2 linked regions of the Pelodiscus sinensis genome follow. The protein of the gene in region 1 purifies or fractionates together with the protein of each later gene. This does not show direct contact. Links are inferred from orthologs where the notes say so. Each region holds a gene or a part of one and is shown on either strand. Other genes may lie near its edges. The genes, in order: KDR and CDH5.

Region 1 (7,955 bases):
AGCTCCATAATGCAATTATGCAAATGTAGCACAGGATATTTAAATCCCCATTTCATTTGCAGTTTCAAGAGTCTGCATTTGCATTCCTCTTGAGCGAGAGAGAGAGAAAGAGAGAGAGGGGAATGAAGTGTAGACATACCCTAATACTTAGCCCTTGGCCTGCAATGGAGAAAGGGTTTGCGCAAGGTTCAGGAAAGAGGAAGGGTTCACCTCTCTATACAATTAATTAATAAATCATTGTCATAGTGATAATGAAAGCCAATGTTTCCCTTACCTGCAAGTAATATTTAGAGTATCATTTGCAGTTATTGCAAGGATATCTTTTTGTATGCTAAGACTTGGCTGATCTGGAGAAATAAACAAGCCTGCAAAAGAAAAGCAATAAATCAGAAAATCACTGCAAAAAAGGGGAAAGAGAGCATGTTTTAAGTTGACCTATTTGTTTAATGTGTTAAATGTTCTACAGCTTTTCACACATCCCAGTAGAAGTTCACGAGCTCTGTCATAACAGGAAGAATGGGCAGATGGTCATGAGCTAGCAGAATAGCTCTGCAATTCATAAAGCTCGGGTGGAGTTCCTGTTTTTTTGCATTACCAACTTCAAGGTCTAACAAAAGGATATGGGACATTGAAATAAAGTGAACCTTCATCTGATGATCTCACTCCCTTGGGAAAACTCTTATAGTAAATTGAATACATACATTTGCCAAGGCTGCTGATTAATGAATTCTGCTAAATTATTTTGCATAGTGCATCATAAACTCAAGGTCATTTGACCCAGTCTTGTTTTCCTTTATCGCATTTTCTAATGTATCTCCTTTGTTGCTTGAAACCCTAAGAAAACCTGTTTCTATCAAACCTTATTTAGGTGATTGGTTCCACGGCATTCGGGGAGAATACTCATGTCAGTTAAAGCTTGCAGATAATTTCCAATATTTGTTCTGATGTAACTGTCCTGCCCATGCAACCTTTCAAAGAACACAATGAGATGTTTTTGCCATTTATTATCATACTCACTCCCTTTGGGAATTCTGTGTCAGTAAAGGATGAGTACACATATCTGAGTAAGTTCTGAAACATTGCCTTGGCCAGACAACACGGCGTACTTAATGCAAATTCAGATGTACAAGGAGCAAATGAGTGAACGTGCACAATAAAATGAACAGCGATGGTACAGACTGGACCTCCTTTAACCAGGACTCCCTGGTTCAGCATCGTCCGTGGTCCATCCTAGACCACAGATATTCCTGGACCATAGAGCCCAGGAAGAGGGCAGTCTGGCAGGAACACTGTAAGGGGCACCGGCGACTCAACCGGGAGTCCAGAGTGTGTATGTGCGGTGGGGGAGGAGAGACAGCATGGCAGGGAGTTCTGGCCCCAGCTGAGCTCCCTGGCCCCAGCAGCAGCCAGGCCTGGCCCTGGCCAGGGAGCTCTGACCCCAGCGGCAGCCAGAGAGCTCTTGGTTCCAGCTATGGAGCTCCTGCTGCATTCTGGCTCCAGCAGCCACAGAACTCCAGCCCCAGCAGCCAGGGAGCTCTGGCCTGGGCCGCGGAGCTCTGTCCCCATCCCTCCACCCCAGCCACAGAGCTCCAGCCCCAGCTGTGGAGCCAGGTGGCTACAAAGCTCTGCCCTGGCTGTAGTGCCAAGCAGCTGTGGAGCTCTGCCTCACTGACAGTAAAGTCATCCTAGAGCTAGGGGCTTCACTATCTCGCCACAATTTCATCATATTTTTATCAAACCTTTCCTACAGAGATTCTTTGACAATAGGGTTCAGATAATTGATTTCTGTTGCACTTTACTGTAGAAAGCCATCACTAAGGTAAAAATTTGAATTAAGAAGGAAAATCAAATCAAATTTATAACTTACTCTTTATCATAGGATTTGCAAATAATGATTTATCTAATCTAATCGTCCAGCAAACAGGTTTAAATCTTTCTGGACTAAATCCTCCTCCCATTTGCGTGCCTTCAACAAAACTAGTGTACAGCTAAATAAGAGTCCCTAGAAGTGTTCGATACTAAAACTGAGATTTTATTCTCATTCAGTGTTGCTTTGTTAGACGTAAAAACTAAAGTAAAATAAGCTCCATTTAGTCAAGAATGTTCAGCCTTAGTCAAACTGACCATTGTATGGCTAGATTGTTTTCTTCAAGGTGAAACATCATGCCATGAACTAAAATTACTCTTATGCATATCTCTAAGGAGAGTATTCCAAAAGAAAATACATTGGTAACTTACATATGCACTTCAAAAAAAACATGATATACAAATATGAGGATCAATAAAATAGTATTACTTGTTGTGTAAACATGCAAATGTTTGGTATTAAATTAATATCCATATTATAATAGTCAAAATGTTTGAGTTCCAAACACAAGCATAATTTTAATTATATGAATATCCATATTAGAATAGCCAAAAAAGGTTATTTTTGTGTTAGACACAGGCATTATTTTAGTTAACTTCCAAGTCATCCCAATTTATTTAATTTCTGCTAAAATATTAATTTCAGTATGATTGTTATCACTGGGCTTAGTCTCAGTCTAAATAGCCTCCTTTAATGAGAAAGAGAATAGCATAAATGTATCATGTTGAATTTCAAGAATTTTGTACCACTTATTCCCAAGACAACGGTATAGTGAACAGGTGATTATTTCCAGGCACTCCACTCATTCTTGTTTAGGCTGTAGAGGCAGGAGTTAGTTGTATTTTGTGTCTTGCACAGCATATTGTTAGCTCCTCACAGACAGAAGGAAACTCCTTTTCCCCCATCTTGTTTCCCCATTCCCCCCTTTTCGTTAAGATCTGCCTTGGCCATGGGAAAGTTTGGCAAAACTGCCTGGCGCTTGGTGAGTTTTCTACAAAAGATGCAGGGATGAAATTATGGCTCCATCTCTACACATGCTGATCAGCCTGCATGGTCACTCCAAATTCTCCTGGTAAAGCCATGGCCTGTGCACCTGCCTATTCTCTCGTGCAAGGCACAGGATGTCCTGTCCTTTGCAGCACCTGAGCAGGAATAAGGAACAGCCTCTTCCTCTGGAGACCTCAGGGGAAGGAGGAGGCCATGGCCAAGGCTAAGACCTTTAACAAGCTCCGTAGGCAAAATCTCAGCTGGAGCTATAAATGGGGGTGACTCCCTTGGCTTCCCTTTCTCAACTCACCCAAGAAGACCGTCCCCAGGTCACCAGGCAACACAAGCCAGGGGCATAGGGTGAAATCCTCCCTCTACTGAAGCCAAGACCAAACCCCCCATTGACTTCAACAGGGGCAGGATTTCCCCGGGGGGTTTATTCCGCCTGCCCCAGTCCCTATGTTCTGGCTCCATGCGGTTCGCTTTGGGGGCTGGGACAAACCTCCCGTCGCTTCCCACGGCAGCAGGATCGGGCCCTGCTGCATCTCCGGGGTTAGCCCTCGCCCGGCTGCTCCCATCAGAGCATCTGCCCCGAGGCTCTGGCACTTCCCGGCGCGCCTGCCCAGCCTGGTCTCCCCGCATCTGCGCTCCATGGGCCGGAACCCCCCGGGCTCCCCGCGCGCCCCTCACCTGCAGCCGGCGGGCTCCCCAGCCACAGCAGCAGCGCCAGCGCCACCGCCACCGCGTCCTCCATCGCCCCCCGGGAGCGGGCTCCGGCTGCTGCCAGCGGCGCCTTGTGCGCAGAGCGGGCGGGCGGGCGCTAATCCTGGTGCCGCTGGGGCGAGTCTCTGCGCCCTGGGTGCGGGCAGGGCCGCTCCGCGCGAGCTGGGGCTGTGCCAGGGCATCGCAGCCGGCGCCCGCAGCGCCTCTTCTTTATTCCGGGGGAGGAGACAGACTCCTGCGGTGCCTCCCACCTGCCCGCCCCCGGCCTTCCCCTCGCCCCGCCTCCCCTGGGGCCTGGGCGCACGTGGCCGCTCAGCCCGCTGCAGTGTAGTGGCCCAGCAGCGCCCTTCGCCCCCAGCTTGCAGCGCTCAGACAGATGGGCTTTTATCGAGTGACCAACCCTCGGCCTCTCACCTCCCCTGCCTTCAGTGGGGCTTAACCATGGAGGGGGCTGGTGCATCTGCTTCTTTAAGCACTTGGCTGATCCTGCAGAGTCTTAACATCATGATTTGAGGACTTCAGAGCCTGGGGTTTAATTACAGACATAGGTGTTGGAATGGGGGTGCTGCAGGTACTGCCACACTACCTGGCTTGAAACAATAATGACAACCCAAATCCATGATTTCCACCTTCAGCATTGCCACGGCACCACTAATTACAGGAATGGGAGAGAATTTTGCAACTTGCAATGTGCAGGCAACTAGATCATGATGGTCCCTTTTGATCCTAAAGTCTATGAGATTCACTGCAAACACTGATGCATTTTGCTTAATCCATCCCAGTCAGCAGGCTTTATTAGAGAATAACAGCCCAGAGACAATCAATTTGGATCATATAGCCAGTTAAAGACTGCTGGCTTCAAGTACAATTCCTGAACATAAACTATATGTGCTTCAGCAGCAAGATCTTGTAAGCACTAGCCCTGGGGGGTTCCCAAACTACTCAGACATCACAGCTAAGGGAAAGGATATTTTACTTGGGCTGGAAGGAAAAGGAAAACTTGCAAATACCCTCTGTACAGAGCCTTGGATTAAAAAGTTGCAATTCTAAGTGAGCAATTATTGTAAGCATTTGGGTCCTTGGAGGTGGTGCAGTAAAGAGTGGGGGCTCTTCAGACCTAATGCCTAAGGTGCCCTCTCTGGTCCAGTCTCTGTTATTCATATCAAATAGGATCTTGTGGGTTTCCAGGCAGGCTCATATAGGCCAAGTCCAGACTAGCGAGCAATGTCAAACTAAGATACGCAAGTCTAGCTACATGAATAGCTACAGCTACAACTTACCACAGCATCCCTACTTTGAGGGCTCAACAGGAAAAACTCTCTCATCAACTTCCCTTTCTCTTCTTGGTCCAGTGGATTATCAGAGTCGACAGGAGCGTGATCAGCGATCAAATTAGCAGGTCTTTTCTAGACACGTTAAATCGAATCCCAGGACATCAATCTATGCAGCAGTATGTGTAGACAAGTGTATCACTGGGCTCCCTCTGCACTTGTTCTCTGCCCAGGCACTCCTGTTCCCCCACAAGTCCTACATAGACTTTTAATGTCTGGCAGTCACAGCCTGTCTACATATAGTACTACTGCATATGGTTCCTGTCTCCACCTTTTAACCAGCTCCCTTCTTGCAAGACAAGATTGAGAGGCAACTGGAGACAGGGTGTATGTTTGTGAAACAAACAAACAAACAAACAAAAAAGCAAGCTACTCAAGGGAAGGCCAATCACCACATTGGGCACATTGCTTATGTGTTTCTTTAAAGAGCCTTTGTCTCCCTTTTTAAATTGTAAAATCTTTGTAGTGGGGACAGCAACTGTGCCTTCCTTTCTGTTTGTACAGTGTCCAGTAGGGATGTAAAATCCCTTTTTAAAAGTTAAATGGTTAAACGTTATATTGAGCGGGTTAACCAGGATCCCACAGACAAGGGGGTCTCTCCAGCCCAGCCAGGCTGGACCAGCCCCCTGCACACAGTAACTCCTACTCCACCCTGGGTTGCTCCGCCCAAGCTGGGATGACTGAACCAACTGTGCCATGGATGGTGGAGCCTGGGGGACTGCTCAAGCGGGGCTGGGCCCACAGCAATTCAGCATAGACCAGCCAGGCCACCAGTTAACCAGTTACCCACTTAACCCTTTACATCCCTAGTGTCTAGCACACTGTGATCATCCCTGGAAACAAATAAGTCAGTGATGTGGGCTGAATAGCAGGGGAGGAAGGTGACTTTTGCCACAGCTTTTTGGATGTTCTGGTAAAGAACAAATTAAGGAAGTGTTATTTACCTCTTCACATAACAAGATACTGTAAAATCTGGAGTATAATGTGCACCTATGTATAATGAGCATCCGCCTTTTAAAGGTCAAAATTCTTGAATAAACTAAACTCTTATCTATAATCCGCACCCTCATTATACTCGAGATTTTAAGGTATGCATAGGAAGGAAGGGGCTCGCGCCTGCTGCGGGGTCCCCCTGCCCAGCTGAACTCATGCAGGCTGAGCTCACACCTGCTGGGGGAGCCTCTCCAACCCAGCTGTCCGCATGCCAAGCTTGCGCCTGCTGGGGGGGGGTGTCCCCCGCCCAGCTGACAGCACGCTGAGCTCGCGCCTGCGGGGCCCCACCCCACCCCAGCTCAGCCCAGCCCCGCCCAGCTCATGCCTGCTGAGGGTGAGTTTAAAACTTTTTTAAAAACCTCCTATAAATAATGCGCACCCCGACTTTGATGCTAAAAAAAACGGGGGAAAATTGTGCATTATATTCGAGATTTTACGGTACTTGGTGATTACCTAATGAAATTAATAGGCGGAAGATTTTTTTTTAAAAAGGAAGTATTTTTTCACCCAATGCTGTCAGCCTGTGGAACTCATTGCCAAAGGATCTTGTGAAGGGCAAAAGTAAAACTGTGCTAAAGAATTAGATAAGGTCATGGAGGGCATGGTCATTAGCTAACATGGTCGGGGACTCAACGCCATGGTCTGGGTGTCCGTAGCCCTCTCACTGCCAGAAGTTGGGATGGGAAGACAGGGGATGGATCACTCAATAAATCAGCCTGTTCTGTTCATTCTCCCTGAAACATCTGGCACTGGCCACTGTCAAAAAACAGGACACTAAAGTAGATGGACTGCCAGAGAAGCAGAGGCTTATAGTTGGCTTCCTGAGTGCCTTCCCCGTTGCTGCACTGAGGCTACGTCTACACTACGAGTTTTCTCGGCAAAAAGCATGCTAATGAGGGCCTCATTTGCATGAGTCGCAATCTCAATTGCATATTTTCTGCTGATCTGTTTTTGCACTGTGGTTTTTGCGCAAAAACAAGCAGTTTGAACATTTTCTCTTTGAGCAAAAACTCCTTTTTCCACAAGATCCTTATGCCCCAAAAAAGGAGGTTTACCGATCTTGTGGAAAAAGGGGTTTTTGCGCAAAAATAAAATGTCCTCACTGCTTGTTTTTGTGCAAAAACCCTAGCACAAAAACAGATCGTCAGAAAATATGCAAATGAGATTGTGACTCATGCAAATGAATCCCTCATTAGCATATTTTTTGCAGAGAAAACTGGTAGTGTAGACATAGCCTGAATGTATCTTGACCATAACAGAACATCTTAGCCCTTCATGTGAGAGCTCATGACTAAAGGATCCAGTAGACTCAGATTGCCTGATTCTGCCTTCCTCCGAAAACAGGAACTAGAAGGCTCTTTATAGAGTGGCACAGATGAGATAATTTGTCAGACTTGGAGGGGACTTACGGAAGGCTCCCAACAAATCACCTTGTTTTGTTTTTTGTTGTTGTTGTTATTCCCTGGAGAGTCAACCTGTTTCCCTGCAGTAGTTTAATAAAAACCATTTCTCTCTCCCTCAGGCTCTAAACTAGGAAAACCCTGTATTTTGAAAACAATCAATGGGCAAGATATGTGTAAATGGGGGAGGACAAACATCTCCCCTTAGCTAAACAGGGGCCAACATGCTTTTGTTTATGCATCTGCTGCTGTGATGGCCAAAACCTCATTAAATACAAGACACAAAGAAACAGCAAAGACTTTTGGAAAGGGATCAGGCCAGAGGCTGGCAGCTCCCCTGAGTCATTCCCCCTTCCCTCTCCCCTCTGACATAGTCACGACTCCTCAGCACTTTGCAGCCAGCCAGGACCCTGGCTTTAGGAGCCTGGCCCGGACAGCCAGCAGCAGCAGGGCAGACAAGCAGCCTTTTGTTTTCTTAATTATTTCAAACAACATCCTGGGGAAGATATGGACTGGTGCTGAGGTTCATAGCCTTGGCTGCTTTAGCCCAGGAGCTCTATAAATGGCCTCTGTGTATATCTTCCCAATGGGCCACTTCAACCCAGTAGCACCAGCAGCACAGAATGCAAGGCTATCAGCACGGCAGCACAAATG
Region 2 (8,025 bases), on another chromosome or scaffold:
TGAGCTGACTTTAAATGGTGCATCTCTGGTAACAATACTTTTCTCTATCCTCCAAAGTAGCAAGCTTTCCCCTGCAAGTGGAATGTTTCTGTCCTTTCAAATGTAGTATTAATCATACTTTTACCTAGTAGTCCTAACTTTTGAGAGCATTTGCCACACAAATATATCTGTTCTGAGCTTTGTTCCTTAGTGCAGCTACTGTTTTCTGTTACTGAAACTCTCATGTGAATTGAAGTGACTCAGCAGCCTGATTGCAGAAAGTTGACTTTTTTCTCCAAATTATTTTTCACAATAACTTATTGTGTCCCATATATACTAGGGAATGCTAAATTCACGCTGTGCCTGAAATGGACATTAAATAACAGCAACTGCCTTTCAGTGGAATCAGCCACAAGACAAAACATGGTGTGTGTATATGTATCTTTCCAGCTCATTGACTTTCATGAGTTTCATGGAATTTGGACTTATGCAGGGTCTGGTGTTGAATGTTTCCTGAGAACTTTTAGTTCAAGTGAATGTTTAGGGGAATTAAGGATGCACAACACTTTAGAGGGTCAGGCCCAAAATACCATATCTGCCTGCCATATTGATATTTCATGCAATAAAATAAGCTCCAGAAGATAGTAACATATTCTTGAAAGTATGTCACAGGGCTCTGAAAAATGTGTTAAAAAAACCCATACATCCCTCAATTTGCCTGGTTTCATGCTTTGTTACAAATTTGAACAAGCTTGCTATAAGGTATATTTAAAGCTCACAATCTGGTTGAGTAAACATAAGGTCAGTGAATGGGCCAATTTATGTTTTTGCCTTGAAGCTGTAGCCTTTAATGGAAAACTTAGCAGTTTTTTATGGGATTTGAGTTTGGGGATTTGAACAAACCCCAAACTCAAAGCAGAAATTGGGATATGAGTGGGTTGTGAAATTCAGAAACAAAAGAAAATGTTAATGGAAACCCCCTGATAACTGAAATATTTTAGTTGTATGCAGCCTTAACCATGGCATTGTTCCTTTCCGTGTTTCCACTACAATACCAAGAATTCTGGAAGTACGTTTCCCAGTAGTATTTTTGAGAATGGATCTCAGAACTATAAAACTGCTCACATAAGGTGAAATGGTGGCTTCAGATCACCATGACTTGTGACCGTCATTATGGTGGGTCCTTGTGTTTTGATGTTGGTAGTAAATATGACACTAAACCAGTTCTCCCAGACTTGATCGCTCCAAAACGTTGTCGTCATTTCAAATCTAAATCCAGAATTGAGGTAAGCAAACAGCTGCTATCTTTGTAGTAGGCCACACTTGTATCCCTGCATCTGAGTGAAGTCAAGGTCTGTTTGGAATCCAGATCTAAATCCAAATTCTTGGAAGGATTTTCAAAGGCGTAAATAGGAGGTAAGCATCCAGCTTCCAATGAAAGTCAGTGTGTCTTGGGTGCCCGTCCGCTTTTTGTGCCTTGCAAATCTCCCTCCTCCCCCTATTTCTTGGGCACATCTCTAGTTTGCACAAATAATGACTGACACATAACAGTGCAAAAAGGAAATTAATTCTACCAACATATGTGCTCAGCAATTGGGGCTCCTCTCATTTTAAACATACTGGAATGAAGAGTGAAAAGTACTTTGTGCACCTTTTTAAAATGCTTTCCTCCAACACAAAATATTTCCAGTTCACACATCTCATGAAAGACATTTTTCCCCACTTGTCATTAGAGTTTGAATCTATCTAAATTAAGCTCCAAAGTGATCTGGAATGTGGATACACTTACATTAGAAACAAAAATGATGTATAAATGGTAAAACTTTAGACTAATCCTTTTTGAAAACCCAACCACCACTATTTGCTTGATTTTAAACCCCATCTTGCAGACAAGAAATAGTTTATTTTTTCTATTTTTCACTGGAAAAGGAAGATTTGTTTTCTTTTAAATATTATTTTATGTTTATATAGCCAAGCTCAGCAAAAGCTACAATCATATGAGCTTCCAAGGCAGAAATTATACAAGTCCCTTCACATATATCCTGTTTTTAATTACTCTATTCTACTTCAACAAAAGCAGGATATGAGGCAAACATATTATTTTGACAAATACCTTCATAACCGTTAACTGTTTGTGAAACACCTTCTGCTTAAGCATGTTCAGTACTGAGCCCTGCATCTAGCCCTATAGAAAAATCACAATTTTAATATTTAATATTTAAGATCGGAGAACTATTCACAAAAGCAGCCTATTCCACATTTTTTTTTCTTGAATTTCACATTCTTTCCTGTAGCATGGCATGCAGCACGGTGAGGTATAGTCCTCCCTGACTATAATTCCAACAGACACAAAGATGCATTGATTCCACTCTTATTCATAAACATTTGTGTCTTTGCAAGTTGCATGGAAAAATACAACTGAGGGACCTGCTACTATAACTATAAACATTATAGTTATAACAACATAAAAGCTCTGTCAGCGGTTTTCCTGTTTCAAGGCCCTCTCCATAAAGTAACTTACCAAAAAACTAGTAAGTTTGGAGAGCTGAGAGCCAGAAGCTTCTACTTCCAGACCAACAGATGATTGTAGGGATTAGGTATAATTAAATGGAACTTAGAACATCAAGGGTAACATTTTCAGAAGCACCTGAGTCCCATTTTTAAAAGTTGCCCAGGAACTTAGGCCCCAAAATCTCATTGAAAGTCAATGGGGACTTATATTCCTATTTGCCTGAGTCCCTTTTGAAGCTTTAAATCACTTATAAGTGATTTAAAGTGCCTTGTCTTTACACATATGTAGTTCCAGCTATGTGAAATCTGCATAGAGTTGCCTTTTGAACATGAGAGCTCTAACTTTTTGGTTCTTAGCTCCAATAGCAGTAATATTCCTTTCACAATTTTAAGTAGGTAAGAATACCCAAGGAACTCTGCAACCTTGAGCCAATGTATTTATGTCTGAAGGAAGCCAGATATAACATAGCATACATTTTTTCCAATGACAAACTAGTAAGCCTATTACTGTCTGCACTGCAGCTGAAAGGTCCCCAGATACATTTTGTAGTATTGATTCTGTTATTATGTCTCCTTGTAAAAGCCCAGTGACAGCATATCCTGGTATCTCAGCTTGCATCATGAACCACAGGTATAAAAAAGATATATTTCTTCAAGTCTAAATACTCCTTACAGTGTGAGAGTATTTTTCTGTAGCCTCAGAGAACCTGATTTTAATTTCATGCCAGTGTAAACTAATAGTATCTCCACTGATGCCAATAGAATTATGCCCAAGTTACAGCAGGATCACCTTAGAGGATGCTGCAAAGATATCTAATGACAGAATATTAAGTAAATAGTCCATCTCAGAACTTTAAACAGAAATCAAAGCAATAAAAGCCCTTAAAATTTACTTGAAAAGAGAAAGAGTACTCCACTGTCCCTTACCTGTTACACAAGAGGCGGTGAAGCTTTACTTTTATCCAAAGTTAGACAAACTAAATCAAAAGTATCCAGAAATCTACACAGCACTACTCAGAGTGAAGAACAAGTAACAAAAAAATCAGTTTTCATTGTCATTAAGCAATTCTGGGAGTGTTCAGCTTTCCAATCTCCAAGGTTCCCCAGCTGGGAGTCAGCCTTTTCCCATCCTGCATGCCAGCATCCTGTTATTGTTCCAAACCTTAGTAATGCCAATGACAGAAAAGAGTGGAGGAAACCAGATAAACTTAGGCTTATTATTACTATGCTTACCTTTTCAGAGGGACAACAAATAAGTATCTGAATAAAGGGAAATGGACTCTACCAGAAATACAAACCAGTGCTGGTGCTTAATATGTTTAGTACTAAACAGTTTAAAACAATCCCAGAATGAATACTTAGTATGGTTTATTTTCAAATGTTTTGTGTTCAAATGGAACAAGATTCTTCAATATTTTAGTAAGTCAAAGCCATCAGGATTTGTACACCAGAAACAATGATGAATGAAGTGCTCATCAGTCAGTTGGGAGTTCCCATAAACTTCCACTACTTCCCTTGGTGCAGAATTGATGAGTTTGCTAGTGGCATGAAAAAATATTTAGTAGATTGGTGTATACTGAAATTTTGGAAAATAAACATGAGTCAAATTCTGCTCTTGACAACAGCAGTATAGATTTGAAGCAACTGTGGTTCACACCGGTATGTTTGAGAGCACAATTTGGTTGCATGTCTTCAATTTAGGGCATGATTCTCCTCTGCCTTGCACTTTGTATATTCATTTCCACCTGTACAGGAAGGACACAGAAATGCTGCTGTTCGGATTTAGTTGCAAAGCACTAAAGAGACCTCAAAATTTAAGAAAAAAACTCTAATGGGAAAACTTTTGAATTAAATTGTTGCATTGCAATTTTTAAAGCTGATGAATATTTAGGGAGAGGGAAGGGGGAAAGTTAAACATTCCAAGTTGAGTGGTTGCAATTATGCTTGTGGACCTGATTTATTCTTCTGTTGCAGTCCAATGGGAGTTTCCCAGGTTTAGACCACAGTGAGTTTAATGGGCATTGCACCCATGAAAGTTAAGGTAGTTCAGTGTGAGAAGCAGATGGGTCTTCATAGAGCTCACATAGGCCTCGTCTACACTAACCCCCACTGTCGATCTAATCTACGTGAATTCAGCTATGCAAATAGCATAGCTAAAGTCAACATACTTACCACAGTGTCTTGTGTGCAGTAAGGTCAGCAGGGGCTACTCTGCCATTGACACCAACTACTCTTCTCATCCTGGTGGAGTATTGGCATCGACTGGGGAGCACTCGGAGATCAATTTATTTAACCAGACACAATAAATTAACAGCCAGTAAATCAATTGCTGTAGTGTCGATGCCCAGCGTAGTGGATACAAGTCCATAGAATATTTGTGCTCTGTTCTGGGACAGCAACATATACTTTAATTTCTCCTCCTACCCTAAATGCAAAGAAGAAAATGTAGACCCGCTATTTCTTTTACCCTGCAAGCCAGAGAGGAATTACTTTATTAAATAATTCAGGAGCAACTCTGAGAAGCATGAGATTAAAAAGAGACCAATGTCTGAGGTCTTACAGGTATGTTATAATAAATGTAGCCAAATGTGCAACATATTTTATAGAAGACTTTAAATAATAACATCCTGCAGTGAAATACTCGCTTGCCCCTATGCTTCATCACAATTTAGCAAAGGTAATGGGATTGATTTTTCCAGTTTTCTAGAAGACTGGTCTTTGGTTACATTATTTCACATTTTTATGACATGCAGTGGCAAAGATGAATAGCTCTTTTAAAATTTTGATACATTAATTATTCAGGAAGGTTAAGCACCTAATGAGCGGATATTTTTCAAAGTCTTCTTTAAGGAGACTGATTATAATTAGGTTTCCTCATAAGAAAATAAGCAGTTTCTATTTCACTGCTGAGTGAAGAGGAGAAGGAGAGATGGGGAGGATGTTAACTGCAGTTCACTGGAAAACAGTCATCTGCAGATGATGCAGCTTAGGCAATAGACTCTGGTACCCAGAGCAGATGACAGTTGTAGCTAGTGTTTATATTTGCAAATAACTCTATTTTTTGGATTGACAGAATGATCTTTGTTTAACAAAGGATGGTTGCTTAAAACATAATAATGTCGTCTTTACAGGTAATTTCTAGTCCAAGTTTTGCCAAATCCATATAGTCATAATCAACTTCTGTCTCACTTAAAGCCTTTATTCAGAGTCTACAGAAGTCAATGGGAATATTTCCTTTGCCTATAGTGGGCATTGGAGGAGTCCAATAGTGACAATTTGGCCACATCTCAGAGAAGCTATTTTAGCTGCCCTTTCTTCCCATATGTATGCAGGGACTACAAACCAATATTTTCCTTCGGATCCTATAGAAATTAATGGAGAATTGTCTGCCTCAGCATTCTGAAGGATAGTGGGAAAAATCAAAACCAAGTAACACTATTTTTCTATTAGCATTTAGAGTCTAAAAACCTTATTAAATTTCCACTGACCCTTTTCTCACTCTATAGATTTTATCTCTATGGAACCCTATAGGATTTAAAACATTATTATGAGGTAATTTGAGCTTGGATATTTTAGGATAAACTATCTTTGGATACTTAACCAAAACCAGACAATCTCCTAAACTTTCAGGAACTTAGTCTTTCTCACAGTTGTGCTTTCTGGGCAATAAACTCCAGAGGCATCTAATTAAAGTGGATTTTCAGGGGTGTTGAACACTTGGGCTACGTCTACACTGGCCCCTTTTCCGGAAGGGGCATGTAAATTTCACCAGTCGTCGTAGGGAAATCCGCGGGGGATTTAAATATCCCCCGCGGCATTTAAATAAAAATGTCCGCCGCTTTTTTCCGGCTTTTTTAAAAGCCGGAAAAGAGCGTCTACACTGGCCCTGATCCTCCGGAAAAAGCGCCCTTTTCCGGAGGCTCTTATTCCTACTTCAAGTTTGAATCCATTGCCTCTTGTCTTGCCCTCTTTGGCCAGAGCAAACAACTTTCCTTCATCTTTTTTTTTTTTTTTATGGCAGCCTTTCAAGTATATGAAACACTGCTATCATGTCCCCACCAATCTCCTCTTTCCCAAACTAAACATACCCAGCTCCTTCTGTCTTTGCTCACTTCCATCCCTTTGATCAGCTTTATTGCTCTCCTCTGGATACTTTCCAGTTTCTCTACATCCTTTCCAGACAGCTGTGACCAACACTGGAAACTCCAGCTGAGGCCTCATTAGCATCTCATGTATCCTATCACCCATGAGAGGTGGGTAATGAAGGCAAGAGAAGGAATGTCCTACCCAAACTGACATAGGTAACTCCACCCATGCTCCACCCCAGGTTAGGACCCTTCCTTACCTGAATGCTGCAACCTGCTCTTTGCCCAGTGCTGGGGCTGGTGGCTAGAAGGAAGCGGGACACCTGGGTGTCGGGTCTGACAGTGTAGCCCATGCTTCCTGTCTGCCTGGTGCTCTGGCACTGGGAAGGCTGATGCAGCCAGGCAGCTACACAGCTAATAGCTCTGGGGCCAGAAAGGCTGGGTGTATGGCTACCCTGAGCTGGGAAGACTGGGGCTGTGTGGCAGCCTGGCCACCTGGCCACCCAGTGCTCTGGGTCCTGGAAGGTAGGCACTGTGCATCTGCCTGGTGCCTCAGGGTTGGGAAGACTGGGACACCTGGAGCTTTGGGGTCAGATAGGCTGGGAGTACAGAGAAAGGGCCAGCAGCTACAATGCCCAGCAACCTGGCACTTCATGCCACCCACCTTGGTAGCCAGCGAGCAGCCACAATGGAGAACTTGGGGAGCATGGGGCAAGGGTCAGTGGCTGTAGTGGGGGCTGTGTGGGCTCTAGCGGGCATGGAAGGGGCTGGGCTTGCCTCTCCAAGCCAGCTGTTCACCCACCATCCATGCTATCACCTTCTGTGATTTGCATGATTTGCCTCTGTTAATGCAATCCAAAATTGCATATGGTTGGTATGCTTTTACTGAGGTACCAAACTTTAAGCAGACAAGTTCAAAACTGTAGACCTCTGTGTTTAAACAGAAAAACTTTCTAGAAGTAGATGGGAATGTGTAGACAGTGCATGGAATCCTCAGTGAGTAATGTGATCCATTCAGAGTGGAGGAGAATTAGAAGATGGAAGGGCTCAGAGGACTCAGACTTTGTGCCAATAAAAGATGCTGAACTAGTCACTAAGGACCCATGGCAGTTGTCTGCAACTGTAAATCTCTTCTACCTGAAGGAGCATTCAGCCTTTTCCACTGATGACATATCTCTTCAACATTTGTTCCACAACACATTTTTCAGTTAACTGGAGCCAGTTTTTTCACCCTGACAGCTTTGCTCCCTTCCTAGTCTTTGCCCCTTGGATGTTCAGCAGCTGCTCTGCATGCTGTTTTTGTGTTAGTTTAGTGCCATCTGGTTGAGAGCAGCACCTCCTTCTATCACGAGCTAAGGTTTCAGACTCATCCTTGTGTTAGATGCTGACATATATGCAGACAATCTGAATTCTTTACTCTTGTAAAGTAAACAGTCTTTTTACTGGACTG

What was found.
Region 2: the proteins of KDR (region 1) and CDH5 purify together in Homo sapiens (affinity purification with western blotting; 3 studies listed by BioGRID and IntAct, with this or other methods). This does not show direct contact. The link is inferred for Pelodiscus sinensis from reciprocal best matches to the Homo sapiens genes KDR and CDH5.

The regions. Positions count from the first base shown.
Region 1 is NC_134715.1:85,101,206-85,109,160, reverse strand, and holds the start of KDR (vascular endothelial growth factor receptor 2), read right to left. Parts: upstream 3,774-7,955; 5' UTR 3,609-3,773; coding exon 3,545-3,608; intron 366-3,544; coding exon 275-365; intron 1-274. UniProt on the Homo sapiens protein: Tyrosine-protein kinase that acts as a cell-surface receptor for VEGFA, VEGFC and VEGFD. Plays an essential role in the regulation of angiogenesis, vascular development, vascular permeability, and embryonic hematopoiesis.
Region 2 is NC_134722.1:19,395,349-19,403,373, reverse strand, and holds the start of CDH5 (cadherin-5), read right to left. Parts: upstream 3,597-8,025; 5' UTR 3,418-3,596; intron 1-3,417. UniProt on the Homo sapiens protein: Cadherins are calcium-dependent cell adhesion proteins. They preferentially interact with themselves in a homophilic manner in connecting cells; cadherins may thus contribute to the sorting of heterogeneous cell types.